2 linked regions of the Alligator mississippiensis genome follow. The protein of the gene in region 1 binds, or shares a complex with, the protein of each later gene. Links are inferred from orthologs where the notes say so. Each region holds a gene or a part of one and is shown in the gene's direction. Other genes may lie near its edges.

Region 1 (16,086 bases):
AATTACCTCATTCACATGAATCCAAGATGACTTCAAATTTAAGATGACCCTCCAACAGTTAGATTCTATACATGCAAAATGATAAATTTATTATAATTTTCCATGCATAGAATCTAATTATTGGAGGGCCATCTTAAATTTATCCATCTCAAGGCAGCACTGGAGGAAAGCAATTGCCTGCCCTCCTTTCCTCTTGTGCCTGTGGCTGCCCCTCCGCTACTTGCCCCTGCCTCCCAGTGGCTGGCCCCCCTCACCGTTTGCTCCCTGCTTCCCTCCCTGCCCATGTCCTCCCCATGTCTATGCCTTTGCCTGCCCCCTGCTGCCTGTTCCCGGTGGTTGCCCCCCCCCCCACCTCCTCACCACTGCTTTCCTTCTGGGTAGCAGCTCTGGCTCTAGGGCAGTCAGCAGCAGCCCAGCCCAGTCACGGAGAAGCAGTGAGAGTGGCTCTGGGCCCAGCAGGGGAGCTGAAGGTACACAAAAAAGAATACCAAAAAACAGGTAACTGGATAAAGTGTTTTTCTTTTCCAATTTAGCTAAAACATCATAAATTTGCCTTCCAAGAAATATTTTAGAGGGTGCCTTTATATTTAACTAAAGATTCTTTAATAGCTGTTGTGTCTTTATCAGGCATAGTATCTCAACTGAAGTTTTTTCTATTTTTTCAAAGTTAGAAAATAGTAAAGTTTGTCAAGGGTCTGTTAAAGAAAAATTAACAGTAAGTATTTCAGCATCTCCACAGTAGGACTTCATAATCTAAGTTTCAATGTATGACGTATTTTTAGGACTGATCTATAAACCCATGGAAGCATTTGGATATGAAAATACCTAGAAAACCCTAATTTAAAGGGCCAAGTGAGTTTCACTTTAATAAGGAATGAATACTAGGCATTTTGAACAGAACTTTGTCCATGTACTCTGCTTCTCCTTTTTTTTTTTTAAGATGTTGTATGCCTGGGCAGTTTAAAAATGATTTTGTAATGTAAGCAAAGACCAAACAATGAACATTAATTTAAATCTTACATCCTTTCTCTCACATTAACTCCCTGTACAATATAATATTATATAAACACAGGCTAATACTCCAAACTACCTAGAGCAATTCTTCATTGGAATGTGTTTTCTTAAGGATAATATAGACAACAGCATTATAAGCAATGCTGATAGAGCTATCTTCTCAAAGACCCTCTACGATGAAACACTGGAAACATTTATTTTTGTTCATGTTTGGATGGTATTTTGGAATTACTTTATAAGGAAATAATTAGAAGTTGAAATTTACTGTGTCTTATGGCACTTTGGATGGTAATAGTCTGAAACAAGCTTGAAAAAAATACTGACATCACAATCTACAAGGTTCATCTGCATCTCTTAGAAAACACATTCTCCTATGGGACTACAGCTTGTAAATCAAGGGTTCAAGTCATTCCATTGGAAAAACTGGAGAACAGGACTGACAGGACCACTAAAATTGAGCATGGCCAAACAATATTATTACCAGGCAGTATTTTATCTCAGCTTTTATTCTGAAGTAAATTTACTCCAGAATAAGCAGCTGATATATTACCAGCTGGCCACAATAAATATTATTATGGTACCTGGCCACTAGGTGGTGGGAAACCCATTTGTATATAGCAAAATGCAATTACAGAATGAAATGGACTAAGGAAAGAGACGCACAACACATTCTGCATAATAATTGTACACAGTAAAGCTACAGCACATTTTTCAAGCACTAACTTTACTCTGGATCCAAGTATTTTATTATGTAGTTGGCCTGTGTACTGTATGATGTGTCCATGCTCACACTTATAGGCATGTCTTATTTACCTAACTGAAGAACTGAAAAAAATTGGTTTTGCTGTGCTTATCAACATGACTAAGAGTCACTAATAATTCAAACAGGGGGAAAAGTATCTATTGGGGTTTTCCAGGGTCTGCTCTGGGCCTGTTACTGTTCAATACTTTCAATTAGTGATTTGGAAGACAAAATTTAGTGTAAAATAGTGAATGGCACCGAGTTTGGAGAGGTGGTAAGCACTCCAAAGGATGGGATTAAGCTACAAAGTGACCTTGATATATTGGAAAAAATGGTCTGAATAACAGGGGCAAAGTTATGAACATGGCACAAGGTGACCAGTGGCATCCTTCAGGGCTCAGTACTTGGGTTAGTTCCCTTCAACATCTTCATTAATGATCTGGATTCGGGCATCAGATGCAGGCTGGCAAAGTTTGCAGACAACTCTAAACTATGGGGGAAAACAGTCACAGTGGAAGACAGGCTGGGGTTACAGGCCAACCTGGACATACTTGCAAGGTGGGCAAACCAAAACCTAATGGCCTTCAACATAGAGAAGTGCAGAGTGCTCCACCTTGGAAGGAAGAATCAGCAGCATACTTATAGACTCAGCTGTGATACGTTTGCTAGCACCACGACCAAAAGAGACTTGGGGGTCTTGATTGACCACAAGATGAATATGAGCCAGCAATGGGATGCCATAGCTGACAAAGCAAACCAAACTCTGGCATGCATCCATCAATGCATCTCAAGCAAAACCAGGGATGTCATCCTCCTGCTTTACTCAGCCTTAGTGAGGCCACAGCTGGAGTACTGCATCCAATTTTGGGCCCCCCACTTCAGGAGGAATGTGGATAAACTTGAGAGAGTCCAAAGGAGAACCATCCATATGATTAATGGCCAAGAGGGCAAGCGTTACAAGGAGGGGCTGGGGAACTTGGAACTCTTTACCCTGGAGAAGAGAAGGCTCAGGGGGGACTTGGTGGCAGCCTACAAGGGGGGAGCATCAGGACCTGGGAGAACAGTAATTCACCAGGGCCCCCCAAGGGATAACAAGGTCTAATGGCCACAAACTCCTGGTAGGCTGATTTAGACTGGACATAAGAAAAAACTTCTTTACAGTCCATGGGCCCAGGGTCTGGAACAGACTCCCCTCAGAGGTGGTGCAAGCACCTACTCTGGACTCCTTTAAAAGGCATCTAGATGTTTATCTTGCTGGGATCATTTGACCCCAGCAGACTTCCTGCCTATGGCAAGAGGGCTGGACTTGATCTCGTGAGGTCCCTTCCAGCCCCTAATGTCTATGAGATCTATGAAAGTGATGCATTTAAATTGACAAACAAATGTACAAAGACACAAATAGGATAGTGACTGCCTAGGTTATAGTAACATAGGAAAGGATCTAGGGCTTATAATGAACTACAACCTCAACAAATTAACAGTGTAATACTGTTGCAATAAAGCTAATTGCATATTAGACTACAGAATATATTAAAAGGAGTCCTCTACTGAAGTCACAAGAAGTGATTCTTCCTTTCTATTTAGCACTGGTAAGGCCTCAGCAAAACCAGTGGTGTCCAATTTGGGGAACAACACTTCAGCAAAAACATGGGCAAACTGGTAAGAGTCCAGAGGAAAGCAACAGAAATTATTGTAGGCCTAGAAAACACAATGTATGAAGACAGGTTGATAGAACTAGGATTATTTAGCTTGCGAAAAGGGAAGACTGAACTGGGGGTAGATGACTGTGATCAAAGAGAACAGCTGGTCACCCTCCTCTGTCAACAGTCCCTTTTGTATTTAATAACACGAGGACATCGCAAGCAGTAATGGTGTGAAATAACAAGATAGATCTAGGTTGTATATTAGGGAAAACTTTTTATGAAGATGGTTTAAGTACTGGAACCGACTAGAGCAGAAGTGCTCAACCACCAGCGTGGGAACCAGATCCAGCCCATGGAGCCAATGCCATGGCTCCCCAAGGGTCAGAAAAGTTAATGGTGGGGGAACTGAGCAGTGTTATTTGCTACTGTCCTGCTGCCATTTCTGGACCTGTGGGAAACCTGCAAGCCAGATAGCATGGCCCTCCCTGCTAGATCAGTCATGCAGGGTTGGGGCTACATGAGGCTTGATCCAGAAACACAGGGCCATTTCATTATTTTACTGGCTTACAGGGTGCTCTTTCCTTCCTGTGACTTAGTTTCCCAATCTGTAAATGGTTAGTGACATTGATCCTGAATAATGATAGTGACCAAAAATCAGTATAAAAAAAAGCTCAATATTATGATCTTTTAAACTATATATATTGACTACTGTCACTTTTGAATGAGAAAAATTGCAAATAAGATTTCCAAAAAGCAAATGAAACTGGTAGTTACTTCTGTAATTTTTAAGGACCAGACACGCTTTACACTTGGTAGATCTGTTTGAAACTCAGAAATCTGCACGTTGTTATACAGCATAAGCCCATTCTCCCATGATCCATAGACTGTGTCACAAGGTAGAAGGGAATACATTCCTAAATCAAAGTGATGGGCTTTTCTTTCTTTATGATGTTCTTAGCTCTGCCTGATAGCCATGTGTTAATTTATCTGAGCATTTTGGTACCCATCTCATTTGAGATTGCATTAGACCCCTTTGAAATAGTACTAATATCTAATGAACAGTTTGAGTTCAAGTTGATTAGAACTAATTTTATTGGAAGACAATATTTGCTATTTAATAAAACAAATATATACCACCTATGATTTGTGTAGAAGGGCAGTGTTTCACATTTATTGATCAAAGTCCTGTTATGAACTTGCTACAACTTACCAAGTCCTATGAAGGTATAATTCCCTCTTTTAATACATGCCATTCAATTCATGTGGCTATAAAACAAAGCAGTGTTTCTTTTGCCCATGTATTTATTGCAGTTCCTCTAAGATATTAAAGCTGACTGGAGCAGATGAGGACTTAGCTGAAATGCAATCATCATAATAATGGTGTTCCCAGAATTTCATATATTTGACAAATCAGTGGCCTAATTCAGATCTCATACTAGTGTATATTCAAGGAGTCAATGGAAATATGCCAGTGTAAACCTGAGAGGCAGGTATGAACAGAATCAGACTCCATATTTCTATGTAAATTTCCTCTGAATATGCTCTTATTTCATTTGCTATGATAAAAATATCCTGATACTAAAATTATATTTCTACATTTAATACAGGATAAAAGAAGAATTGCTATTCCATATTTATTCTAACAAGTAGAGATGCTTTTTTAATTTACATGAGGAATGGGGTCTTTGAATGTTAGCTTCAAATTAGTTGAATTAATTGAATTAGTTGAATTAATGAATAAAACCCCAAAATAAAGCTCCATTCTTATAAAAAAAATATTAAGAAAGCATAAATAAATGAGACTAGTTTGTGGTGTGGAATATGTTACTAGTATGATATGAAATGATAGAATGTCGCAATTACTTTTACTATTAAACTAGTACTTCAAGAGGTTGACAGCAGTAACAAAATTAAATCACTGGGAGAGAAAAGGGATTAGAGACCAAACAGTATCTTTGTATTAACAGCAGATTTATGTTCGCACACACAGAGAAAAAGATTGATATTTCTACATACTTTTCTTTAAAGTATCTACAAAGTGAAACTTTGGTGTCCAAATTATTTCACATGCTTACTACAGTTAAGTTCAAGGAAAAGCACATTTCTATGAGTAATTGATATTGTTATTAATAAAACTAGATTTTTCTTAAGAATTAATCTTGCCTAAGGTTTACACCCTCAAATAATGTTCACTAATAGTAATATGAGTTAAGTCCAAAGAGAAAAAAAACCCATTTGGATTACTATTGCTTCTAAACAATGGCATCATACCCATCACTGGTAGAGACATCATAAGGAAGACTTCTGTTTTTAAAAAGGAATGTCTCCTCTCATGTCATTCATAGCAAGGTAATTTACTAAGGATAATACAGTCATTAATAGCAATGTTTGAAAGTTCAGCCCACATTTCTTTCTATGTCCCACTTGCTCACCACCACCCAGAAAGAAAAGCAAGTTCACAACCCAAATACAGCCCTCTTCTGCAGGCTGCTTTCTGGCTTTTCTTGTGACCTCCATGCTCAAGATCAGCATAACTTCTGGCTGTCATTTTAGAAATTCAGGATCTAAGAAATGGCAGCTCTTACTTAGTCCATCTGAAACAGGTAGTGAAAATGATCAGTAAATACAGAAATAAACCAAAATCCACTTCAACATTTCATTATAACAAGTGCTCTCTCTCAGGCACATGATGTAAATTAAGAACTGCAAAGCTAGGAAGAAAACCAGAGTTATTCATAGAATAACATACATCATGTTCAGAGTAACCTGCCTGTAAAAACAAGCAGTTTTAAACTTGTATTTTTAATACTTTTCTCTCATGTAAAACATTCTAGATTCACAGGAGGAGAATCCCAGAATATATTGTTCTGGTATGATAGTTAAGTCATATTTGATAGAAAAGCTCTTTATGCTTATATATATTTTTGGGGTGTGCAAAGGAATATTTCCGGCTAGACTTAATTTATTTCTTTCTGAAGGAGAATGGGGTACAGTAAGTATAAGTACACTCCATGCATTGATTGACTACTACCTCAGACTTTAAAAAATTACAAATATCTGTACAACAAATCAAGAATGATCATAGGAAGTCTTGGAGGAATAAGAACAGATCTGAACTTATCTACAGAGTTGCAAGGCATTCTTCCTAATCAACATGCCAGGAAATGTGGCTGTGTGAGAGGCTGAGAACATAATAAATCCAAGACTTCCAACCTTCACAGATTAGGCTGGAAAAAGAGATCTGTAGAACATAATCCTATTGTACTGCCTTGTCTATTAGAAAAGATTTGAAATGTGAAATTTGACTGCAGAAAGGATCAATTTATTCCATTATTTAGTAATTTCCCATTTATGATTTCACTTGTTTAAACAGGCTTACAGTTTTTTGAAAACTTTACATATCATTTCAGGTTTATCATTTCGTGGCTATACCCCAGTGAAAATATGTTTGTATATACTCAGAGAAAAAATGCTAAAACACAAGCATTTTAATCATTGTTATTATTCTGTTAATAGGTAATATAAGGGTAATGAAAATTTATAAACTGTGTCTTAAACCCTCAGTTGGAGAAAATATAGTCTCTCTTATATTAACTAACATTATTAATACCCTGTTTTTTAGGGCTTGATCCAAAGGCCACTGAAATCCATGGTAAGACTAATTGATTTCAATGGCCATTGGATTGGGCCCACACAACCATTTGTATGAGCATCCCGAACTGCATTACAAAGGAAGGTACATACCATTATTTCCCATTTACTGCGTCTAATTTTTACCCAGTTTTCCAACTGCACCTAGAGATACTATCCTGCATTTGTTTAAGATTCAAAGATACTGGTGCTTTTACATAAAGGTGTACACATGTACAAAGCCCTAATTGACTCTGTTTCTTCTTTTCTACATTCTATTATCAATGTACTATTACCTTGTTAAATGTTGACAGAAAGACTGATTTGTTATACATGTTGTTCATGATTTACTGGCCATGGCAAAAACAGGTTCACTAGAGAGGCACTGTAGACATACAAGCTGAAACCATCTTACAAGGGGTTAAGTTTGTAATCACTATCTAGAATATTTATAATCCCAACCACAGCCCAGTAATAGAAGAGGGTGGATCTAGAAGGTGCAGGAGGAGACGTGTTTATGTGTGTGTGCATGTTTTTTCTTTCATGTATCTATATTGCTTTCTATTCTACTGGAATAAATCTTTTCCATTTTGAGCAGAAATCTATATACTAGTTATCCCTTATGGATAGTTGAAAAAAAGACCTTTACTAGGACAACCACCTTTTTTAAATCGTTCTACTGAAGATTTCATTCAGGAATATTTTTTGCTTATTGGCAGATGAAAGAATGGGCAGATAGTTGGAAATCAAACTTTCTCCCCAGTAGAAGCAAACCTGTGGAGCCTGAACAATGGAAATAGTTGATGATAGTCTACTTGAAAATGGAACCAATATTTCTGCTCTTTTTTGTGATATTATCTTGGAAAATGATACATTTTTCTGTGTGGATGACTCACCTCATCCTGCTAAAGGTATGTACATGAAAATACATTTTTTTCAGAAAGCAACAGTTTGAGCTGAAAGTAAAATCAGAGATATTTTTAGAGAAACAGGTACTCAGAGGTTTTTTGAGGCAGAGCAAAAACAAGCATTAGCTGATAAATTCAGATAAGCAACAGACTAGCAAGTAATTAATATGCCCCGTCTCTTCAGTTTATAAACATGGCAGGAAAGAAATATAAAGCTAAAATGAAAAGATAACAATAGTGATACCAAGTCAAAATACAGATGGTACCACTTGAATGCTTAATAATATGTACATACTTTGTAGTACTATTGGAAAATTCAGTAACTGCAGAGTTATATGATTATATGCAGCATATGAAAGTGATTAACATGATATATGTCATGCCTAAAAAAAATTACTAATTATAATAATACAAATTGCCATTTATTTTTGGTTCTTAAAATGAGTTCACTGTAATTTAAATTGTGCTTTGCAATGCTTATTTTTGAGTAGCATGTACTTCTAAGTAGCCAAATATAGTTGTTAAAGTGTACAGTGTATTGAATATATTGTACTTAAACATTATACAGTTCAGGTAGATCAGAATCAAACTCAGAATTTACTTCCACCAGTTTTACTTTGGTGTAAAGATACCAGCTTCAGTGGAATTAAATATAAGAAAAGTCCACTGCCTTGAATGTTGAAGCAGCCTTTACCTTTTGATTAACAGATTAGACCTACTGATAAAAACTAATACAGTATATGATTTGCATATTTCATAACTAATTCTTTATTGTGGCAATTTTCAGATTTGCATCAGACAGTTCGGATTCTGCTGTATTCCTTGATATTTTTGCTCAGTGTGTTGGGGAACAGTCTGGTAATTACAGTGCTGATAAGAAACAAAAGGATGAGGACAGTCACTAATATATTTCTGCTGTCACTGGCTGTCAGTGACTTGATGCTTTGCCTTTTCTGCATGCCATTCACCCTCATTCCTAACCTGCTGAAGGATTTTATCTTCGGTAGTGCTGTTTGTAAAACTGCCACCTACTTCATGGGTAAGTCTCTCAATTGTAGCATTTTATATTTGCTCTAAAGATGAACCCATTAGGGTTTGTGAAATGCTAAATAAGGGCCAGATCTTTTAACATGCTAAGATATCCCAACCCTGGTGAAACAAAATTGAGTAAATGTTAAGAGCTCATTGGAAAGATCAGCACTATGAAATGCAAGTAGCACAAGCAGCGACTAAAACCTCTCACATATAAAGGTAAAAACTTTTTCTGCACAAGTAAAATGGACTAGAAGGAGTCCTGTTACGAAGAGTGAGGGTGACACCCATTTATAATGAGCATCGTGTTCAGAGTCAAATCTGCTCACTTCGGAGACAAATGGTTTTACCTTTGTTGGACCAGCAGTCAATACAGAAATAAGGACTCAGTCTTGCAAGGTGCTGAGCTCTCTAGTATAAACCAGTGAAACCTTTGGAATAGGTTGAGTGTTCACTACTTTACAGAATCAGCCTCTAGGAAGGGAGCTGCATTCAAGGCCCACTTGCTTATTATCAGCAGAGCAGTTAACAGTTTGGATTGCTGGGCAAATACATTACGATTGCACAACCATAACCAAGGGCAGAATTGTCTACTCCTAAGTGACAAATGAAAAGGGGAAAAACCCAGCCAGGTTTCAGCCTCCCTGTTGGGGCCTGAGGAGGCGGCAGGCTGTGAAACGCACACACACACACACTTTTATTTGTAAATGCATCAAATTTGTCCAGAAGTCAGTGGAGAACAACAATTATGGAGCCTCATGATACTATTTTTACACTCACTTTGAAGAAGCAATATCATTTTAAAAATGCTTTGGCTGGACATTTGTCTTGTTACAGAGGTAGATCCAGGAGCTGCAGGTAGACTGGTTTATGAAGCAGCTGCAAGCCACAATCTCTCACTTCAGAAGGTTTACTTAAAAAAATGTAAAGTAACAACAAAGCCATTCTGAAAAGCTTTTTTTTCAAATCTCGAAAGCAAACCTTAGCAGTTCATTACAATAATGTATGTATGTCCAACCTGCATCCTTCAAAACTATGAGGTAGTATGAAAGTGCACTTCTGAAGTGTGGGAATGGGAAGTCAACATCTTTCTTTAGATATAAATCAATAACACTAAAGTCCATATTTAAACAAATTGTAATGAATGCTGACACGACAAAAATTACTGAAGCACTGTGCTTATAATGAAATAAGTAAAAATATCAGACTATCACGTTAAATTATTCAGAATACATACACACACACACACACACACATCTATATCTACACACACACATTCCAGTATGAAATTAAAAATTACAAATTTAATTTTATTTTACGAATCAGAATGTGGATTTTCCTGTTAATAATTTAGGCCAATGGTGCTCAGTCTTTTTCCTCCAGTGGGCTGGTTCACCCGTGTACAGTCCATATGCTGGCCAGATCCAGCCAGTGGCCCCAGTCAGGGCTGGGGGATGGGGAGGTGGGCAGCCTGGCCCCAATCCATCCCTGAAGGCAGGGATAGAAAGGGGTTTGACCTAGGTTCAACCTGGCCCCAGAAGGGAAGGGGGCATGACATGGCCCTGATCCAGCTCCATTGGGGTCGGGGAAGGGTGGCCCAGCTTTAATATAGCCCCACAGGGCCTGGGGTTTTTAAATTTGGCAGTGGTGGAGAGTGGCCATATTAAATTGCCACCATTCCCCTGTCACCAAATTTCCAAATCCGAGGTAAGCCCCGTAGGCTAGATACCATGGTTCCATGGGCCACATTTGGCCCACAGGTTGGAGGCTGAGAACCCCTGATTTAAGTTAAGAAAGGAACAGTATTGATGAATAGTCCCTGATATGCACTGCATCTCCCATCCACTTAAACTGTCACTTTAGGATGCAAGAGGGTTATAAATATGAATACTACAAAGTAGAAATGATTTTTGGCAAGCAACCTTTTATGTAAAAATGTTAATATCTTACATTTTTTATCTAAGAGAAAATAATTTCATACCAGAAAATTCCTATGTGACTTAAGGTTAAAGGGAAAGAACATTTCTAGTCATGCAGCAATTGTTATTTTACAATTATAATTCCCCAAGGTCACAAGGGAAAAAAAATATATGTATAACACAATGTGTTTAAATGTAATGTTATTTTTATATCTACTAGCAAGGAGGAAAAATGAACATACATTTTATAGAATCAGGTTCTAATTCTCTACTACACTTCCTTCAGTTTGGTTTTATATGCCTCCACTAAAGACTATGGAAGTGCATTTGATGTATGCTTACTTAATTCTAACAAAACAGGAAGTTTAGTGATTCATCGAAAAAGATAATTGTGGTTATTTTATTTAAAACAAAAATATACTTTTTTATTGCTATCAAATTAACTCCAGTGATTTCAAATGCCTGATTATATTTCAGCAAAGTTACATTAGCATAAGAACTGGAATAACAAAAGAGTAGATAGTCATAGTAGGTAGGGTAGATTTGTATGGTATAGAGTAACCAAAAAATGTATATGTATGTTCATGTGCATATTTATACACACACACACCCCTGCACATTGATACATATCTATCTAACAACCTTTCATGGGCTAGAGTGCATGTGTGCACGCACACAGAGCATCTGATGAAGTGAGCTCTAGCCCACAAAATCTTGTGCTATATCTCTACTTTCATTGGTCTACGACATGCAAGTATACCTGCCTTGTACGTAAGGTAATGTAAGAATCTTATGCAACTGACCATATAACTTCTTGCCTTGGTAGAACAAAGACGAAAGCTGTCAATTATTTTGTTTCACAGGTTTGAGTAGTTAAGTATAAATCTGGAATATCAGATTACAAAACCCAAGTACCAGAAGGCTGTGTCAGAGCTACTGCCATAGTTTCCTTACTGTGCATTATGTACCCAGAAGTTTAGCCAAGAATCTTAAAAAAAAAACAACCAAAAGAACAAAAAAGAGAGCCATCTGTCTTTTGAAAGAAGAATAGACATAATTAATTTGTTTGCTTTCCATGTCTAGGTATCTCAGTCAGTGTATCCACATTCAACCTGGTTGCCATATCTTTGGAGAGATACAGCGCCATTTGCAAACCTTTACAGTCTAGGGTCTGGCAGACAAAATCTCATGCTTTGAAGGTGATTGCTGCTACCTGGTGCATCTCCTTTACCATCATGTCCCCATACCCAATATACAGCAAACTGGTTCCTTTTACAAAACCGAACAACAGTACAGCTAACATGTGTCGCCTGCTTTGGCCAAGCGATGTCATTCAGCAGTCCTGGTAAGATATAATCGACTCTTAAATATCTGATAATTGTCTGGTATCAAATAAAATTACATGGTTGCATCAAGCCTGTTGCAAATCCATTATTAACCATTAGAAAAAATTTAGAATTCTGGTATGCTTATTTAGGAAGTTCCATAGACTGCTATTTCTTAAACTGCCTTTTTTCTCCTTTAACACTGTCATTACTTTTGCTTCACAAAGGTGATATGGTATATGCCAATAATTCTCAGGCTACAGATGGTAAAATATCTGTTGCCTTTGTAGTGCTCTCCCTAATAGTAGAGCTCAGTTCTCTACTCCCCCTTTCAAAGTGTTTTTGATCAAGTACTCTTGAAAAGCCATACACATCCACACCCCTGTACCCCTTCTATGACTCATTCTTTGCCTGCGTAGAACGGATGTAGTTCCAGTTGTCAACAAATAAGATGACATGCACATTGGAGAGAGAATAAATGTACTCGAAAATGGAACCAAGCTAATAACCTGGAGAGATTAGAGCAGAAATGTAAGCAGGCAATGCGAGGAGAAATCAGTGCTATTAAAACACAAAGCCATATGCCACGAGACTGTGAATAAATGGTAAAGATACAACATAAGAACATAAGAAGGTGCAACATTGCATTGAAAACTAGTTTATTTTTACCTTGTTTCCTTAATATTTTCTTTTTCACATAACCAAACACTTTGGCTATCACAGGAACAGTATAGGAGTGTTGTTAATAACTTTAGCAGAACCTGGGAACAAGCCAATAGCTGGTACTACCTAGTATTGGTGCATCTACAGAAACATTTATTGTGTGTTAATATTTTCAGTACTTATTATGCCTGCTATAATGAGCATGCATGAAAAGGAAAGTTAAAGAGTTAAATCCTATTTCCAGTGACACCAGTATAAATATAGGGAAACTCCAGTGAGTGTGCAGTAAAACTACTGACAGCAGAAAATGTTTAGGCTCAAAAATACATGATTGCTTTGTTAATAATATTTTTAAACAGAACTTCTGTCTGTTGCAATCTTTTAATAGTATGGTTTGATGAATATACTGTAAGGTGGATAGAAAACTGGCTGAGCCATCAGGCTTGATATCCAGCTGGTAGCTGGTATTAAGTGGAGTGCCCCCAGGGTCAGTCCTGGGACTGGTTTTGTTCAACATTTTCACAAATGACCAGGAAGATGGGATGGAGTGCACCCCCATGAAGCTTTCCTATGACATCAAGCTAGTGGTGAGTAGTAGATACATTGTAGTATAAGGCTAGAATTCAGAGAGATGTCAACAAATTGAACCAAAAGAAATCTCATGAGGTTCAATAAGGAGAAGTGCAAAGTTAAGACAGAACAATGCCATACACACCCATAGAGGCTGGGGACTGACTGGCCAAGCAGCAGCTCTGCAGAAAAGGACTAGAGGTTACAGTGGATAATCAGCTGAATATGAGCCAAGTATGCCCTTGTTACAAAGAAGGCTAATACTTGTTATGAAGCAGGCTAATGGTACACTGGGCTACATTAGCAGGAGTGTTACCAGCGGATCAAGGGAAGTGATTATTCCCCTCTATTCAGCACCGGTAAGGATACATCTGGAGTATTGTGTCCAGTTTTAGGCCTTCCCCCCACACACTATAGAAAGGATGTAGACAAGTTGGAGAGTCCCGCAGAGGGCAATGAAAATGGTTAGGGGCTAGGGCACATGACTTCTGAGAAGAGGCTGAGGGAACTGGGTTTATTTAGTCTGGAGAAAAGAAGACAGAGGTGATTTAATAGCAACCTTCAACTACCAGTAGGGTGTTCTGAAAGAGGATGGAGCTACACTGTACTTAGTGGTGGCAGATTCTAGAACAAGAAACAATGGTCTCAAGTTGCAGCAAGGGAAGTTGAGGTTAGATAGGAAGACAAACTTTCTCAGGAGGAGAGTAGTGAAGCACTGGAAACAGGTTACCCAGATTGGTTGTGGAACTCCATCCTTGGAGGTTCTGAAGATCAGACTAGACAGCCCTGGCTGGGATAAGATAGTTGGGGATGGTCCTGCTTTCAGCAGGGAGTTGGACTAAATCATCTCTTGAGGACCGTACTCTAATTTTCTTTCATTCTATTATATTAATGTCATACAGAACAACATTTTAATAATACATTGATTACTATGTGTAATAAATATTGAGTTTCCTTTAAAGTGGATTTCCCACTATGTGAATGGTTCAGTACCAAAACAAAACAAAAATCCAGCCCTAGTATGTACCATTTTTCCTTTGGAATGGGCATGAAGTTGGAGGTGAAACAAATACCCATCTCATTCCCTTGCTCTGGTTGGCATGTTGTTCTGAGGCTGGGTACTGTCCTACCCCAGGAACATAGGAATGACCAGTATCAGCATCTCACTTATGCACTAGTAGGTGGTTTAAGTTTCCATATCATAAAAAAAAAAAACCACAAAGCAATTAAACTGGTTCTAGTAGTCAAATATTGAACAGGCAGAGACCAAACCATCTCTTCTAATCCCTTAATTGTTGCCTATTCTATCTGGGTAGAGACCCTTTGAGTTGGCAAAGCAGAGAAACCAGACCTGCTTTTGTTCACACTCTTTCTTCCGTGGGGAAAAATGGGATTCCAGCCTCTAGGACTGCCGAAGCAGCCTACCATGCATTTAACTAATGAGACACCTAAGTCATTAAACAAAACACAAAATGTGTAGCTGCTTTTCTGTGTTTTTGCTGATCCTCACTCTGAGAAGGACTCTTCTGTGGCTTCCACAGGTACACATTTCTGCTACTCATACTCTTTCTTATACCTGGGATTGTAATGATGATTGCATATGGCTTAATTTCCTTGGAGCTATACAGAGGAATTAAATTTGATGTCAGCCAACGCAAGTCTTCACGAGGTAACAGTACAAATGAATTATTTGTTTATTTCTTTCTTTTTAAATAACAGATGTTAAGATGTGAACAGCCAAGCACACAATTTATTCCATAAACAGCAATTTCTGCTGGCATAATGTCCATGAACAGATTACAAAATTCATATTGGACACATTCATTTATTAAAATTATTAACATTATCTGCAAAGAATTCAGTTGGGATATTAGATTTGTAATTCCACTGTGTTAATTACATAATGGAGTGGATAATGTGCCTGCTTGCACATTAGATGAGTTTTGCACTAAGGCTTTGGACACACATTTCTTTGCAGTGTTACAAAAGACCATAATGCTACAAACATTAAATGCTATGGAAGTATGCACGTGGACCCAGACAGCTCCCTGGCTGAAGCGCTACAAATTTGCTTCAAAGGTACACTCTCCAGCTGGGGGACAACAGAGGGCTGCTCCTTTGCCCCCCGTGACCCAACCACCCCTCCCAATCCCCCAGCCAGCTGGATCAAACAGTTTGCCTTCACCCATTCCTGGACCAGCAGCTGTCACAGACTGCTGCTCCCCACCCCTGCCACCCCAATTTTAGGGGGCAGCAACAACCTCGCTGCCACTGCAAGACAAAGACAAAGCCAATGCTTTTGTGGCAGCAGGATCCCAGCATGGCTGTGACAGCTCACCACCATAGTTGGGCAATCTGTCAGGGAGAGCAGAGGACTGTGGGACATTAGAGAAAGCATTCCTGTAGCCATAGATGACCCATAGGAGTTGACAGTGGGGGGGCACAACTCCATGCCACCACAGTTGCTGCTGAGTGCTGGCTCCAGCCCCATGCCCTGCCACCAGCACAGAAATTGCACCGCCCCCACTGCTGCTGGGCCCTGGCTTCAGCCAGGCTGCAGCTGCAGCCCCAAGCCCAGCCATCGGCATGGAAATCTGGGGGACATGTGCCCCCTGTGCCCCCCACCCCATATCACCTGTG
Region 2 (16,030 bases), on another chromosome or scaffold:
TGGTGCTGATGAAAGTTACTCTTGAGGGATTTTTTTAAACTTTCTATCAGAGGTGCTCCAAAGACTTTTAGGGTCGGATTTCTGCCCTGAGGACAAAGAGCAAAAATGGCTAAACAATGTGTAGCTTGTTAGGGGAGTTAGCCAAATAGTGTAGACTGTGATGTCTTCAATATAGTTTTCACTGTTTTGACCTTCTGAAATGTATATATTTTGGCATGGTTCTCACTGAAGTGAGTTTTCAATTAATATAAATATTATTTTTCATATGATGGATAATATTTAATTTTTAAAAATAAATGTATGGTGTTCTCAGTTTATGTCTTATATAGACTGATGTGTAATCAGATGTACAGTAGGCTGTAATGCCCTGGGGTTAATGTAAAAATGTTTCTAACATCCAGAAGTAAAATTCCCAACAGTTTTCCAGACTGAACACATTTTTCAGCAGTCATAAATCACAGAACTGTGTGGTACACCAGGCAATACTCCATATTTGAATGGTAAATCTCTCAAGAGTGTGTTCTCTCAAAAATCTGTTTTTGAAGGGAAGTATCCAGGTCACTCAGGATTAAACACATGTAGTGTTACATTTGTAGGTTAACATAAATTACAGAGAAGAATAATGTGATTCATATCTTCAGATGAAAAAAGTTGTGTCACCTGCGCAGTTCAGCCTTGGGACCTCAAAAATGGCAAATGGTTCAAAGGGAAAATTGTCTTTAATAACTACATTAATAGCATAATTTAGCAAAACACACATGAATTTAAGTTTAAGCAAAAGTAACCCCACCACAGTCTAGCAAACCACTTATTCACATGCATTAGTTCTAGTATCTTTAGGGGGACTTAACCACATGTACAGGTACTTTGCTGAAACAAACCTAAGGACACAGTTCTGTACAGTCATTTAGGATGTATTTATTTGCTTGTTTGGCAATTATCCTCTCCTTAATCCTCGGAATTAAAATGTGACTCTTTGACTTCCTATTTTACTATTGAATTGTATGCAGAAAAGTAAAAAATGTATATTGCAAACAATAAAGCAAAAGGAAAGCAAGAATTAAAATATCATGATATTCTAGGATGAAACTATTAGACCAACATTTCTTTCATCATGAGAGGCTGATTATCTGAGTTTGACAGTTTTATTTTATATCATACCTGGATCTCCTTATGTATTCAAATAATCTAGGAGCTCTCAGGAATTGTCCTGTATTATGTCAGAGGTAGGTCCCATGGAGAACAGAGATAATCACACCCCACCCACACCCTACCTTCCCACATTCACATGCATGCTTCAGAGTTGGAAGTTCAGCCACAACACAACACTACCCTGGATTCATTCCCAGGACACACTCTTGAGCATTCACTGCATCTTAGACTGGGCATTGGGGGGTGAGTCTAGAGCAGACTCCCAGCCAAACTTCTGACTGTGGAGCAAGTCAGCTGATGTGGGTGGGTGAGGCATGCTTATCTGCAACTTCTGTGATATCCACCCCTGAGCCAGTACAGACAAGCCGTAGTAGTCTTGTTGAAATCACAGAGGATGTACTGGGAATGAACATAAATGGTATGAAATACAAAGTCATGCACTTAGGAATCAATAATAAGAACTTTGACTATAGAATGGGAATATATCTGGAAACAACTGAGGAAGAGAGGGACCTGTCTGAATTGGTTAATGTTCATGAGCCACCAGTGTGATGCAGCTGTGTAAAAGGCTAATGTAATCCTAGGGTATATTAGATGGGATATAGTCAATAAAGACAAGGAAGTACTAATAACATTGTACAAGGCACTGGTAAGACCCCACTTACCAATTCTAATTACCAGTTCTAATTACCAATATTCAGAAATATTAACTTAAATTATTCAAAGAAGACCTGTAGTGATGGTTAAGTGAATGGAGATCTTTTCTTATGGGAGATTAAAGGACCTTGGCTTGTTTAGCTTAAAAAACAGAGATGGATAAGGGATATAATAACTCTTTAAAAGTTATTCGTATTCAATATTAGGAAGAAAGAAGCCTATTTTTAGGCTGAAAAGCAACGTTGGCACAAAATCAAATGGCTACAGATAAATTTAGATTGGAAATTAAAAGATTTCTAGCTATCATTGTCTAAACTTCACAGTCTAAGTGAAGTTTTGGAATTGCCTTCTAAGCCAAGTAGTGGTCCAGAATTGTTTTATGATTGAACTTGATAAAGTCATGGAAGTGACAGTATGAGAGGATATTGGTTCAACAATCATGTATTTACAATCCCCATGTTGGGTAACTCTCTTGTAGTGTAACAGGTGTCTGAGAACTTCTTGCTTCAGGATTTTTGGTGGTTGCTTATAGGGGCCAGGAAGGATTTTTTTTCCCCTTCATGGATACTATTGGCTTCTGGAGAGAAAAGGGTCTCACCTCTTTCAAAAGGACATTGGCCATTGCTAAGGTTAAGGGGACTTTGAATGGAGTTTTTGACTGCTTCTGCCAGCACTTAAAAAAGCAAAGGCTCCTAGCTGGAGAATTTTTTTCTCTTCCACTCAGAGTAAACCCAACCACCAAATTTGGGATCAGGAAGCAATTGTTCCACCAGGTGAGATTGCCATGGACCGTAGTAGTTTTTGCCTTCCTCTTCAGGATCTTCTGACCATACATTAACCAACTACCTCTCTGTGAATGCCGTAACAAAGCACCAGCATCACCCTCAACTCCTCTGCTTTAACCAATGTCACGTCATAGGTGTTCTTAATGTTTTGCATATTGTGCCTGATAATTATGAGGGTTTGTGGAAGAATTTCCTGGATAAATAGTTGCCTATGAACCCAGGGTACTGAACTCAGTGACTCAGGAGGCCCCTTCTAGCCATGTATTTTCATGTTCGTAGCAGCTGACTTACCTTCCTTATTTATCTTTCCTAGATCCTAAAATTCCTTTTCTAATTTTCCATTTGTTCCTGAGCCAAAACCTTAATTCCCCGGCTTTGGTTCACTGGTAAACAAACAGTGCATTTCCCCATAAGGTAATGGTGGCAAGGTCAGCATGGTCTTACACAGAAAAATCCCCAGGGATTTAGAGAGGGATGCTATCAGTTCCCCTCGGGCTTCTTTCAGCCTAACCTCTCATCACACCCCCTTAAAATCCTGAAGTGGAGCAGACATCACACACAGAAACTCTTAATTAATTGGTAGAGAGATGCAGTTATCTCTGCTAGTCTGAAATCAGGGCAGGGTGGCACCTTAGAGACTAACAGGTTCAGAGAGGCATAAACTTCCCTAGGCAACAACTCACTTCATCAGATGCTATCAATTAATCGACAGGAGTGTCTTCACTGTACCATCACTAGTGGGATGAGAAAATGGAGTTAATGCTGATTAGTGATCTTCATGGTGCCCTACTCCTACAAGCCACCTGCATGCCCACCACTCCAAGCAAAATGTGGACACATTATTTTTCCTATTGTGTTTCTTCCTTCCACACATTGGCCGAAGTGAACAACTTTCTCAAAAGGGGTCAGAAGCCTTCAGTTCTCTGCATTTAAAAGACAGTCTAAGACCAAAACCAGCTAACAACAACTGAGTCAATATGAACAATAGTGTTAAAAGAAATGAGTTTTGTCTCTTAAAATGTACTCAGGGGGCTCTTCATATAATCATGAAGTTTGCAGAAATGATATATTCACTGATATGTTTGTATAAAATGAGTGCCAGAAGAACATACAGTTCCACTCATCTGTTATTTGCTGCCAGTTCTTGCTATTTCATTATACATAATGGGACAAATTCATCCCATTTGTGGCCAACTCCATTGACTTCAGTGGAGCCACAATAAGGATAAATTTGCCCAGTATAGCTTGTACTTGTTCATAAGTAGCCAGGTCTTAGTAGAACAAAAATGCAGTGCAAATTAGAAAAACGTGATACTGACAAAGGAGAAAATGTGCTTGTGATCACACTCTTAAGCACTAGGCTTCCTTGGTTCCACAAAACAGCCATCTGGCTTTATCCTCTGTGGTATAACTTCCCCATATGCTTATGCTTGGCAATACATAGCTACTTCTCCAATATAGAGTGTAAATGTCTTTGAGTCTGAACAGTGTAATAAATAAAGGCCCATATGTTATTCCTTTATCTAGAAAAATATTAAATATAAGCATAATAAGTATATAGCTTCTATCATTCCTCATAAAACCATATTGTTGTAAGGAACAGCTGATATCACCCAGGAACTATATTCAAGGATACAAAAGCCACAGCCACTTAGCACACCTGTATCTACTGCTGTAAAAGGAGAAAGGATGTGCAAGTATCTAGGGATAACTGAGTTCCTTTATCCCTGAGAGAAAGGCCATAACACCACCTTTTTTTAAATGATCCCCATGATCTTGAAGAGTCACTATGTGACACAGAAAAATGTGACAGGAAAAGGATACACAAACCCAAGCTCTTTAAGAAGCTAAATTTACCCAGAAACAGGCTTTAGAAAGTTTCCCATTCTTACAGGGTGTGATTCCTCTAATACTGTAGAGAAAGAAGAGAAGCTCTGAATATTAGGATCCTTTGCTGAAAGTGAGAGGTGCCTCAGCCCTCTAAAATACAGGCTTTACCTGCTCAGATGACAGGCAAATTGTCACTTACAGACACTTGCATTGTCTAAATTGAAAAGCCTCTGTTTCACCTAACGGTTTCAACTAGATTTAAATTAACCTATAGTTTTGATTAGGAGCTTAACAACTATATACTGTATATGAGATTGTGGAAAACCTAAAGAATAAGATCATGAAAAGTTAGAACCCTCCCAATTACTATAATAACAATAAAAACTGCATGTTTCCTGGTATTTGAATATACCAGCCCATAATGGAGGTCAATTTAATTAGCTACTTTGCTGTTTTTGAAATAACATTTACAACAAGTTATCCAGATCCATAATAACTGTTTGAGAGATCTTTTATATAAAGCATCTATAGTCAAACTTCATCCTATCTCACTCAACTACTGAATTTACTTCACTAGAGTGATATCTTTCTGACCCTCTCAAAAATGCAAAAACTATTTATTGAGACCCAAGCATTCTATACAACATCAAGCACAGAACTGGAGAACACACAAATTATAACATACAATCTCAGAATCTGACACACAAAAAATGATTAAAAGAAAGTTAAGGTAGCAAATGCAAAAACTTCAGAATACCAGTTAAGATGCTAACCTGCTTTGAGCAGCATTACATGTTAACCTAATATGATCTATTTTTCTTAGTCACTGTGAAGAATGGTGAATGAATGATGAATATATTTGCTATGGAGGATAGATAGTGTGGATTGAATGAGGCAGAAAACCAGAATTTTGAACACTAGGAATAAAAAGTATCAAACAGCAGCAACATTCACTGAAAATTGTCAGACCTATGTACTGAACAAGGCAGAGTTTGTGAACAAGGCAGAGTTAGCAAATGGTTAGAGAGTTAAACACTCATAATGTAATACTGTAAATATTCATGAACACACTTCTAATATATGTAGATATTATATGTGTGACTATACAATGGACAGTCATAGTTTCTCTTTGTTTTGGTACAGCACTAACACCATTGCTGCTGTTTTCATGTATTTTGGAGGTACACAGCAGGGTTATTTGTTCAACAGCAAAAACAATGTATTTAAATTCTCCTCAATTACATGGCATTCCACACATTCAGGGCCACAGTGTTTGACCTATGGAACAAGAGATGCCCTTGTGAGAAGCATCTGCTTTAAGAACTTTTCAATGGCTGAGTTAGAATGATGTCCTCTCCTATTATTTAGAGTAATTTAGCTGTCAGGAAACATACAGCTGCTGTCAGTCTGTCTGAAATAGAAAAGAGTTAGGTTTTTCAGCATTTCAGCTAAAATGTATTTATAATCAAAGTAATATATATGTCACATCATACTGATGTAATTGAATTCCTGTCATTATGTACTGCTGATGTCATTTGCATTGACACGGTAATTGGTCACCCAGATCAACCTTTAACATTCCATATTATATATTCAATATTATGTTATACATATTAGTTGTCTGATTTTCTCCTACGTGAACCTCCAGGCTATTTCCATGGGAACTCATGATTTATAATATGTCTTCACAAGGGCTCCATGAAGCCACTCTTCAGGAGAAGTATTATTGCATAGTACCTTCACAGAAAGTTTGTGCTACTTCTCCAGCCAGTCACTGTGTGTTTTCATGTTGCCCATTTTGTTTCTGTAATACAGTGAGCAGTTTTATTATTAAGCCAAACTAGGGAAACTGACTAATCAGAAAGACCTTTTGGGCTTGGACATATGCCACTTTTACATTGGCATAACTTACAATGGTTTTGTACGCTGACCTTACACTGGGATCCAGAGTAGAGAGAGAATCAGGTATTCCAGGATAGCATACAGTATTACAGCTCCTGTCCACGAGATGGCAGGAAAGCCTCCAAACCTCTGGCCAAAGACTTTCTTGGGACAGCTCTACACATCTACACTTGCAGCACTATAACTTGCACCTGTTTAATTATATGCCTTGATTTTTCCCAGGGTAATTCTACACTGAATTCAAGTTAGTGACCCCAGTGTAACACTGCACATCATGCACCAGTGTAAAGGCTGATTACACAGATGTCAATATGCTATGTGTCCAAGGCTCAGTTTGACAGAGAGAACAAATTCTTAGGAAAGGGGAAACAGTTCCTTCATCAAAGCATCCTGAGGTAAATGCTGGCTCTTTTTGCACTGTCCCTCTTTTCTTCTCCTCTCTCCACACACACACACACATTCAGACTTCCTCTGTTCTTTGCAAATCCCTCCAGATCTGATTGAACAGCTGCAGCCTCTCTTCCCAGCTCAGTGAGCCAGGCCCCTGCAACATATCACACAATATACCAGCCATGCATGAAAAGTAAAACTGACCATGAGGGCAAAGTAGTTGTCACACAATTAACTAGTTGATGGCACAATATATTTTGACCAACACACACGCAAAGTAATTAGCACATGCTAAAAATGACTCTCTGGCTATAAAAAGAGCCAACCAGCTCTCAAATTAGGACTTGAAAATGTGTAACAACTCTACAGCTGATTTCTAACCAGTTTTAATTGGAAAGTGTAGCCGGGCTAGTCACCAACATCCCCTTCGGATCAGGAGTGTTAGACCTGCCTTGGCACTGTCCCAGGTGGTGATGGAGCCAGGTCCCAGGATCCAGAAGGCAGGAGAGAAAAGCATGGGTAGGGTGAAGGGATGGCAAAGGGTCCCAAGCTCACCCAATTCCCATCTCCCACCTTCTCCGCATGTTGCCAGTGCCCACCCCCACCACCACAAATGGCTCAAGATCAGGTTGGGGATTGGGGTGAAGCAAAGGCAGACCCCCAAAGTCATTAGGGCAAAAGACTGAATCACAGACAGGACCAGGTAGGATTACTGGAGACTGGGAACCAGTGGGTCTCTGTTCTGCCAGGCACAATGTGAGGGGAAGGAGTGGAGAAAGAAAAAGGAGAGAAATACTGGCCTGCAATCTACTTTTCCCTGGGGAAAAACCTGCAACTTGTGCAGATGCATCTGTGACTCAAGGATTGGACTCTGGAGTCACCACAAGATCCATCAATGAGCTGTGGTAGAGATCACCCTCAAATTGAGGGATTTTGGACAATGATGGCAAGGGGAAAGGGACTGGGAGGGAATCAGAAGTTGGCACAGCCTGAGGCTTTGCCACATACACAGGAGCCGCGAATCCTCTACAGAGGAAAGAAACCAGGGACCATGTTGAGGGGAAGGAGGGAGTTACAGCTCCTGGGGGAGGTCAGGGGTGGGTTGGAGGAATGAGACAGACCCCATCACCTCCCCCCTCACCTCTGAAGGGTCCTCACCTTCCCCTGCCAGCAGGGCCCAGAATCTCCCTTGGCCCCCAGCTGTGGTGCCAGCCCCGCGAGCCCCTGAGCAGAGGGGTTTGGAGCCCCTCGGTGCCTGCCGGGCAGGACAGACAAGGCAGCACCCCTCTGCCCTTGGGAAGAGAGGGGGCAGGATCCAGCCAGACACACACACACAGCAGGGATCAGTGTGCAGTGACCCGGGGCAGCTTCTGCCCCGCTTCACACACACATACACACACACACACACGGGCACAGCTGCAGTCTTGGCACGCGAGCCCTACGGGTGCAAAGACCCCCAACTTAACAAGCACCTGAAGCTCACGCAGCAAGGAAGCTGCGGGCAGGGATGGGTTAAGAGCCCGGAGGAGCTGCTCGTTCCCCCCTCCTCCCCGCGCCCCGCCTGCACTGGCCCGCGCTGCCAGCCCCCCCGCCCCGCGCTACTTAAGGCGGCAGCGGAGCACGGCAGCAGCTCTCGGCCCCCGACACCGCCCTACCCTGCCCAGATCTGCCCGGAGGAAGGTAGGAGAGGCTGGGACCGGCGCTGGCGCTCCCGGGCATGTGGCTTTCCAGCTCCGATCTAGGCGATTGGGGGACAGAGAGAGAGAGAGTGTGTGTGTGTGTGTGTATGTATGTATGTGTATGTGTGTGTGAGAAGGGGGGATGCATATTCTTACCCTGCCATCAACTTCTCAAACCATTTCACCTCCTGCTCCAGCTGAGCCAAAAAAGGAGACACAATCCCAGGGCAACCTGGTAGGGGACTGGCGATCAGAGCCACCCTCCTTAGCCCAAGCAAGGGGCAGAGCAAGTAGGGGGCGGGATCTGTGCTGGATGCCTCCGGACTCACTTTCTTCCCTTTGCATTGCAACTCTTCCCCTGCTTTCCTGTCCCCTCTTCCCAGCAATGATGATCACCCCTCTGCCAGGCATAAAGCATCCCCGTCATTGTTAAGCCATGGGCATCCTCGTTCTTGTGGGATGGGCACGTTTGCTTGAATCTTTTGCTGAAAGAGAAGTTTTTAGAAGCGTCCTGGGAAGGAATCACTCCGATGTCGAGGGGGTTGGATCCAGGAGGGACTCTTCACTAATGTGCATGCAAATGAGACATAGCAGCTAAGGTGAAGTGGCCAGCAGTGTTCTTTTGGACCGTGGGAGCTTCTATTTTTCTTTTTCCCTTTTCCAGAGTAATTTTATTTCGGTGCATAGGATCCCTGAAGGATCAACCATGCCAAAGCCTGATATCATTTTGTATAGTCTTCGGTCTTATTTGTCAGCAACGATGTATCTATTGCATTAGAATTCTCTGCTTGATAGACCAAATCAAATGGCTTTGAAAAGTTGCTTGAGACAAAATTTTAACCAAACAGCTCCTCCACTGTTGGAGCAAATGATCAATTTTAGGATTTGGTTTTTCTTTTACTTGGAGCTATCCTGCAGGGGTTGGTTGGTTCGTTTGTTAAGATATAATAAAACCATTGGAAATACTAGGGCCACACTAAAAAAGAGCTGCTAAAACAAATGCTCTTTGCAAACTTTTGAACCTGAAACACACACACTATCATTTTTAAATTTATAACAAAAAAAGTGAAATATTCCATCCTCAGGGGTCTTTGGGGGGAGGGAGGGGGTTGTTTTTGGGGGAGGCAGTTGTTGTTATTTTTATTTGTTTGTTTTGGGGGACTTGTTTTGTTTGTTTTGCGCATAGCGGGCACCTTCTGTTTTTATTAAATGTGATCTATAAAAAAGATGAATAAGAATCGAGTATATCAAGCTGTAGAGATGAAAGAAGGCTTGCAATTGCTTCATTTTTATCCCATCTCATGCTACTGTAGAGCTCAAAGATTTCTCCTTCTCCTTAAAGATATGTTGACACCTTAACTAAATTGCATGTATCCTCTTCAAGGTCTTAACCTAGATGCTTGAGTTACAGTACTTTAAAATCTGTTCTTAAATCAGCACTTTTAACAAGATGGCATAGTATGAAATAGAGCAGCGGTTCCCACCCTTGGGTCATGACCCAAAAGTGGGTCTCAAGAATATATGAAAGGGTCATGAACAATCATGGAAAAACATGAATGTCACTTGGGAGTAATGTAGGGCCACATCCTGATATTGTGCCTAATGTTTTCCTGCTGATACTGATTTCTGTCTTTAAAATTAAGACTGTTGAGCTGCTTTAACTTGTAGTTTTAACTTGGGGCCAAAATACTTTTGTGTATTTTCTACTTAAACTATTGCTGAGTCGGGACACTGGCTATCGATGTTTACCAATGGGTCCTGGTATCAAAAAAAATGTCGAGAACCACCAAAATAGAGGAAGATAATTGCTGTAACACCTCTGCTTCTCTTCCCCTCTAGCCATGTACAGCGGTATCTGCATCTGTGTGTTCCTTGCTGCACTCGCAACGATCTCCTTTGGACAGCAGTCTACAGGCTTTCACAATGCGAATCCTGTGGCCCCTGAGCTGGAGCAGAGCTTGACAGAACATCACCGACATGTTCGTACTCCTTCGTCTGCCAGCCAGCTGAGATCTGTCCAACGGGTGGATGGAAATGTTGACCAAAGAGCCAACATTGGAGCTTTGTTGACCAAATATCTCCAGCAAGCCAGAAAAGGTAATAACTTGCTTATTATGGCATGTGTTTGAGTCAAAGAACCACCCCCACCGCCACCTTTTGAGGTTCAGTATCTTTATAGATTTATAGCACTAGGGAGCAGAACTGAGAGCAGAATTGAGCCCATATGTAAGGCTTCAGATCAGCTTTTGATTTCAATTCCCTGTTTTGGCTCATAACTTTTTTCCACGTTTGGTCTCAGCCCAAAGGTGACTGGATTTTTCCTGAATCTTGTTTAAAAATTCATTTATTTTTAATTGAGCAAACAGGGGCAAAAATAATCACATTTCCTGTTGTTAAATAATAAAATTAAGACCAGACTAATGGGGCTGGCAACAAACACCAAGGCAGTGGAGGTTCAGCATTTCAGACACTGTGTATTTGCTAGTCCTTAGTGAGAAACTCCAGTTCCAGTCTGCACATGCACATACATTTGTAAGTCTTTCCAAGATCACAAGGTACATTTTTTTTTCTACAAAAAATTGAAAAAAAGGGGTAAGTGCTGGAGTATTTGTTTCTCCCCACACACATACAGTAATAATTTCTTTTAGGTTTTTAGTTTTAAAATCAGTTGAAAACTAGACAACGGCATTAGGCAACTATTACAAGGCTGTCTGATACTGCAGCTGGGTTTGCTGACAATATCAACTTCATGGGCTGGATTCTACAAATGCAATTTACGGGTTGGATTCAACAAACACTCACTATTCAGACCTTAGAAAATAGTGGTTTTTCTCCTGAAAAGTGAGGTGGTTATTCTTCCAAAAGAGATACTAAAAATTAAAACAATTACAGACAGCTTCCTAATCAATTCCCAATAAGAGGCTCATTCTTTTTCAAGTCATAGATGTCATGGAGAAGTAGGGCTGGAAGAGACCTCCAGAGGTCATGTAGTCCAACTCCCTGCCTGAGGCAGACCATCCAATACAACCATAGTCTAAGGGCTACAAGTGTTCTATTCTGAACAAAGGGAGGGTTTTTTTTCCTTTACATCTGGATGCACACTGCATGTTCCCAAGTGCAAGCTGCTGGCCAAGCACTTCTGGTGAGCATGATGGCTGCTATGAGCAGCAAATGCTACTGCAGGCAATGTGTTGAATTACAAAGGTCTTGTTTACCCACCACAGATTCCCTATATTCCACATTGCATTCCTGCTTTGCAGGGAAAGAGGATGTCTCAGAAGTGAAGAGGGTAGATGTCAGGAGCCCAGGAGGGATACAGTAAATGCTGTTACACATTGGATGTTCTATTCATGACCTTAGTGATGTGAGTTTCATCCTAAATGGGTGGGGGATAACCTTTTTGGCAGGCATACCAGAATTAGCCTATGCCCTCCCTGGGTGCCATGCCAATCCCCTTCCTCTGAGTAATCTGTTGCTCTTTCTGCTCCCTATTCTGTACTCTCTGCCCAATCTCCTACGCTTTCTACTACGTGCCATGTGTTCCCTGCCTGATCTCCTGCTCTGCTTTCTGTCCTATTGGCTGTTGTGCTGCCTGTTCCCTCCCTGATGTGCTGGATGCCATATACACTTGTGCCCATATACACTTGTGCTACAGGTTGGTCACCTTTGACCACAATAGTAACTACTTCCATTGCACCCCACATTGTGTTGGGTAGGGCTGACAAAACCTAAGTCTATGCCATGCAACAGAGTTCCACTTCGCTCCTGACTTCTCCCCTCCAAATATTTTCATTGTGGGATTTACTGTGCTGGCCTCCAAATTTAACTTTAAATTTCATCCTTACTCCTAATAGGGATCTACAACTAAGAGACACTGCATGCATTATATACAGTATATCTTTATAGGCATAGAAAGGTACTGGATATAATGTGCGCCCTGCACTGTGCATCACACAGCATCTATATTTGTCTAATGAATAGTTCATGCACACACTTACATACACATCTTTGTTATGTAATAATGGGGGAAAAAAGTGTTTGAAAAAAACCAAAAACACTTAAGTGTGCTCAGAAGAAATTTCCCCAGAACCTAGTGATGCCAATTCTAATTGTGTCCATTCAGAGCTCAGTTTAACAACCAATGCAATATAACAAGAGAGATTTGATGTTACATGCAAAAGATTAGTGACCCAATTATATAGGTTTTTATGAATAAGCAAAATGTTTCTTACTGGAATTCTGCAGAGTACCACCTCAGTCTCTCTCCCATTTGAAGAGTTTTGCTCTATTTCCCGAAAATCTGTTATCTGGAAGCCAATTTATTTATTCCAGTTCAGATATTTATTTACTAGATTTATTACACCCTCAAAACAGTTAAAAATATGCTTTAAAAAAAACCCAAAAAAACTTACCCCCAACCCCAAAAAAGAAACCGATCAGCTTGGGCATTACCCAAAATACCTGGCTAACATTTCCAACTATCTAAACCAGCCAGAGTGACAAACCTTTTGGCTTTAGGCTTTATTTATCCTAAATATTATGTGATAGAAAACAGCCTATGTAGTTGTATAGTTCAGTTTTCTTTTTTTAGATGCGTGTTACTGTTCTTTAAAAATTACCATAGGCATCTGACCCTATAAAGGTTATGCTTAATTCTAGAATATTACTGACAGGTACTTGGACCCTGACTCGTAAAAGAGCCTGTACAAGGAGAAAATCTAGGATTTGGAGTGACAAACCAAAATATATATATAAAAACCTTTGTATGGTTGGGTCTGATGAAAAGCACAGAATGGGCGTGCCTACATGAGACACGTACTGTGCAGCTAACTAATTATAGTCAACATCTCTGTGTCTATATGAGCAGCCCTCTTCAGTTTTTTTGTTTTTTGGTTGTTGTTTGTTTGTGGGTTGGGTTTTTTTTTTGGGGGGGGGGGGGTGTTTTTGTTCTCTCTTTTTTTTTTTTTTTTTTTTTTCAGGCACAGCAGCGCATACCAGTCCTACTCTGCTGCAGAGTTCTTCATACACTGCAGTGCATATGTAGATGCTGATGGCACTGGCTAGGGCATGAGGGTGCTTCACTCCAGGGGCTGCCTGACAGCTAGTCTCACACTGAAGCACGCTCGTGTCCCAACCAGCCCCTCTGCAACCCATTGAGCCTGGTCAGAGCAGCCCCAGACTGACAAGGTGACCCCCACCCTCCCAGGTCCCCTGCCAGCCAGCGATGCTGCAACCTGGCTCAATGTGCTGCAGTCCAGGCACATGTGTAAATCATTGCTCTGCACTTTATTGCTCTGGGAAGCTCCCAAGAGCATAAGCTCTGCAGTTTATTGCTGCATGTTAATGGCACATGTAGACTCACCCAATGATCTCCAGTTTACTTCCCTTTCAAGCCCAATACCAGTCATGTTCTCCCCCTCTTACATAAACGTGTACCTTTTGGGTCTGTTTAGGATGGCAGAATTCTCTTTGCCTCGCATACTTTTGCATTGCTCAGAAAGGTGCGACTTCCTCATCTTACAAGACAGTGTTGCTTTTAAATTACATAAAAATGGTAAAATGAAGGTTCTGATCAATATAAGAAGGCTCTAGAGATACCTCCCCTGCAGTACATCAGTCATTTTCAGACTAAATGGTTAGAAAACTCTATCAATTTAGCTGTATATAGATTGAATACTTTTCATTGCTATGAGTGGTTAATATGGATATTTGTTGTTATGGTTTATGTGGAGGGTCACTATTTACAGCTAGAACAGTTGGGGGGGGGGGAGTTCTCTTAAGAGGGTCGAGTTAGGAGCTAGCTTCTTTCCAAAAATGACCACAGTTTGAAAGTTGGAATGTTTGAGGTTCATTTGTTTCATAAGTGTATATACTTCACCATGCTTCAGGAATCTGGAGAAAGGTAACTAAAATGACCGCTATTTTGATGTTAAGAAATTCAGTTGACTAAACAAAACCACCAGGCCATTCAATTAAATAATCCTAAAGCCTTTTTAGCATGCATCTGGTATTTGGGTAGATGAAACGCACTGTGGCCATCAAGTCAGTGATGCAAAAATTTAAAATTCTCAAAGGAGCATTTTCCAAGGCAGACCATAATTAGTCCAGAGGAGCCATTAGTGCCCACTGGATCATTGATCTGCAAGCTCAAAAGTTTCTTAAGTAGTCCCTGATCTAAGACATGGTTTCCTGCTATTCTGCTGTGCCAAGAAACCATTCTCATCACTCCATAATTACATACTTTGAATTAAATGTGTGAATTTCGTGGCTTCTAAAATTAATCAAACACACTCTTATGTGGTTAAATGTTTGACATTTTGGTCCAAGTAAATGACTAAGATCTGCTGGGTTTTTTATTTCAGTTTATATTTACTCTCCTACCTTCTGCAATCATTGGCAAAGTGATTTAAGGTTTTGGGGTTTTTTTGTGTTTTTTTAAATGACTCATTTGCATCTGCGAAGAAAACTACCCAATTATAAAAGCAGAGAGGCGATAGGTGCTCCTTTAAAATATAAAACCCCATAAGCAGGAAAGCAGATTGGGATTTTTTTTTAATTTTTATACATTTAAAGACTGCCAAACTTGTTCCAATTAAGCATTAACAACATGGGTCTGGTCCTGTTCCCACTGAAGTTAATGAGAAATTTGACATAGACCTCAATGGTAACAGGTTTAAACTCATTTTCATAATTACAATGTTACTGCACTTGGTTTTAAAATGTAGCCACAGAAATGTAAATTTACATGTGTTTGGATAAATGCAAATTGAATTGATATTCTACAGTTCTTTCATTGCTAATTACATGGAAGAGTCTTTTTCTGTCTCATTAGCACCTTTTTAAAGTACAGGGTTTTCATTTATTACAGAAAATGTTGGCTTTAGCATCCCATTACTTTAATTATGTTGCCACCCTAAAGATATCTTTGCCTTTATGACAACAGCAGGGATCAGCAGTCTAGTTTAACACTGTATAATGTTGAGAGCTATGGAGACACTTGAGATCAGTTGTCCCCAAACCCAAGGTTTGTGAGCAATATGGTTCCCCTGAGGCTCTTCTATGTTGGCTGTATGTATAGTAAATTAGAGAAGACAAAGCTGAGGTTGGTGGGAACAACCCAGCATGAGGGTGCCTACAGCAAATGCTTAAACTCTTGCTGATGGGCCAGCAAAGGTTCAGAACCAAGACATTGAGTCAGCAAAAGTTTCTCAAAAGCAAGAGAGAAAGCAGGGCAGGGACTAACTCATTCAGAACTGTGGAGCATTTTTACATGTGCTTGGGGAGGCATGGGGGGTGCCTTAATGAGTATTTTTAATTAACCACCCATGCATCATATATTGGCATCCCCCATACTGAAAAATGGCAGCAGGGAGCTTTGAACTAAAGCTTATTGAACAAGCGTTAATTCGAAGTGCCCCACCACCATTTTTTGGTGCAGGGGCGCTCATACACATGATGACAGAGTCTGCTGGTGCATGTCTATTTCTGTGCTCCTGCAGACTTGATTTAATCGAGCCTGTGGAGACTAACCCTTAGAAACTAACTCATTCAGAAATGCATATGCTTTCTTAGGCAATAGCCAGCTTCATCAGATGCTATGGCAAAGTAGTCTCTAAGGAAGTGGTTCTCAATCTT

Evidence for each region.
Region 2: the proteins of CCKAR (region 1) and CCK are in contact, whole or in part, in a cryo-EM structure (PDB 7MBX), measured with the Homo sapiens proteins. The link is inferred for Alligator mississippiensis from reciprocal best matches to the Homo sapiens genes CCKAR and CCK. Residues at the interface, in NP_000721.1 of Homo sapiens: Cys94, Phe97, Asn98, Pro101, Asn102, Lys105, Asp106, Phe107, Thr118, Met121, Gly122, Val125, Tyr176, Phe185, Asn194, Met195, Cys196, Arg197, Phe198, His210, Leu213, Leu217, Ile329, Phe330, Ala332, Asn333, Arg336, Ala343, Glu344, Leu347; in NP_000720.1 of Homo sapiens: Asp96, Tyr97, Met98, Gly99, Trp100, Met101, Asp102, Phe103.

What each region holds. Positions count from the first base shown.
Region 1 is NC_081825.1:40,045,175-40,061,260, reverse strand, and holds the start of CCKAR (cholecystokinin receptor type A), read left to right. Parts: upstream 1-7,573; 5' UTR 7,574-7,819; coding exon 7,820-7,940; intron 7,941-8,724; coding exon 8,725-8,976; intron 8,977-11,971; coding exon 11,972-12,233; intron 12,234-14,987; coding exon 14,988-15,115; intron 15,116-16,086. UniProt on the Homo sapiens protein: Receptor for cholecystokinin. Mediates pancreatic growth and enzyme secretion, smooth muscle contraction of the gall bladder and stomach. Has a 1000-fold higher affinity for CCK rather than for gastrin.
Region 2 is NC_081828.1:135,256,612-135,272,641, forward strand, and holds the start of CCK (cholecystokinin), read left to right. Parts: upstream 1-8,289; 5' UTR 8,290-8,396; intron 8,397-10,234; 5' UTR 10,235-10,236; coding exon 10,237-10,492; intron 10,493-16,030. UniProt on the Homo sapiens protein: This peptide hormone induces gall bladder contraction and the release of pancreatic enzymes in the gut. Its function in the brain is not clear.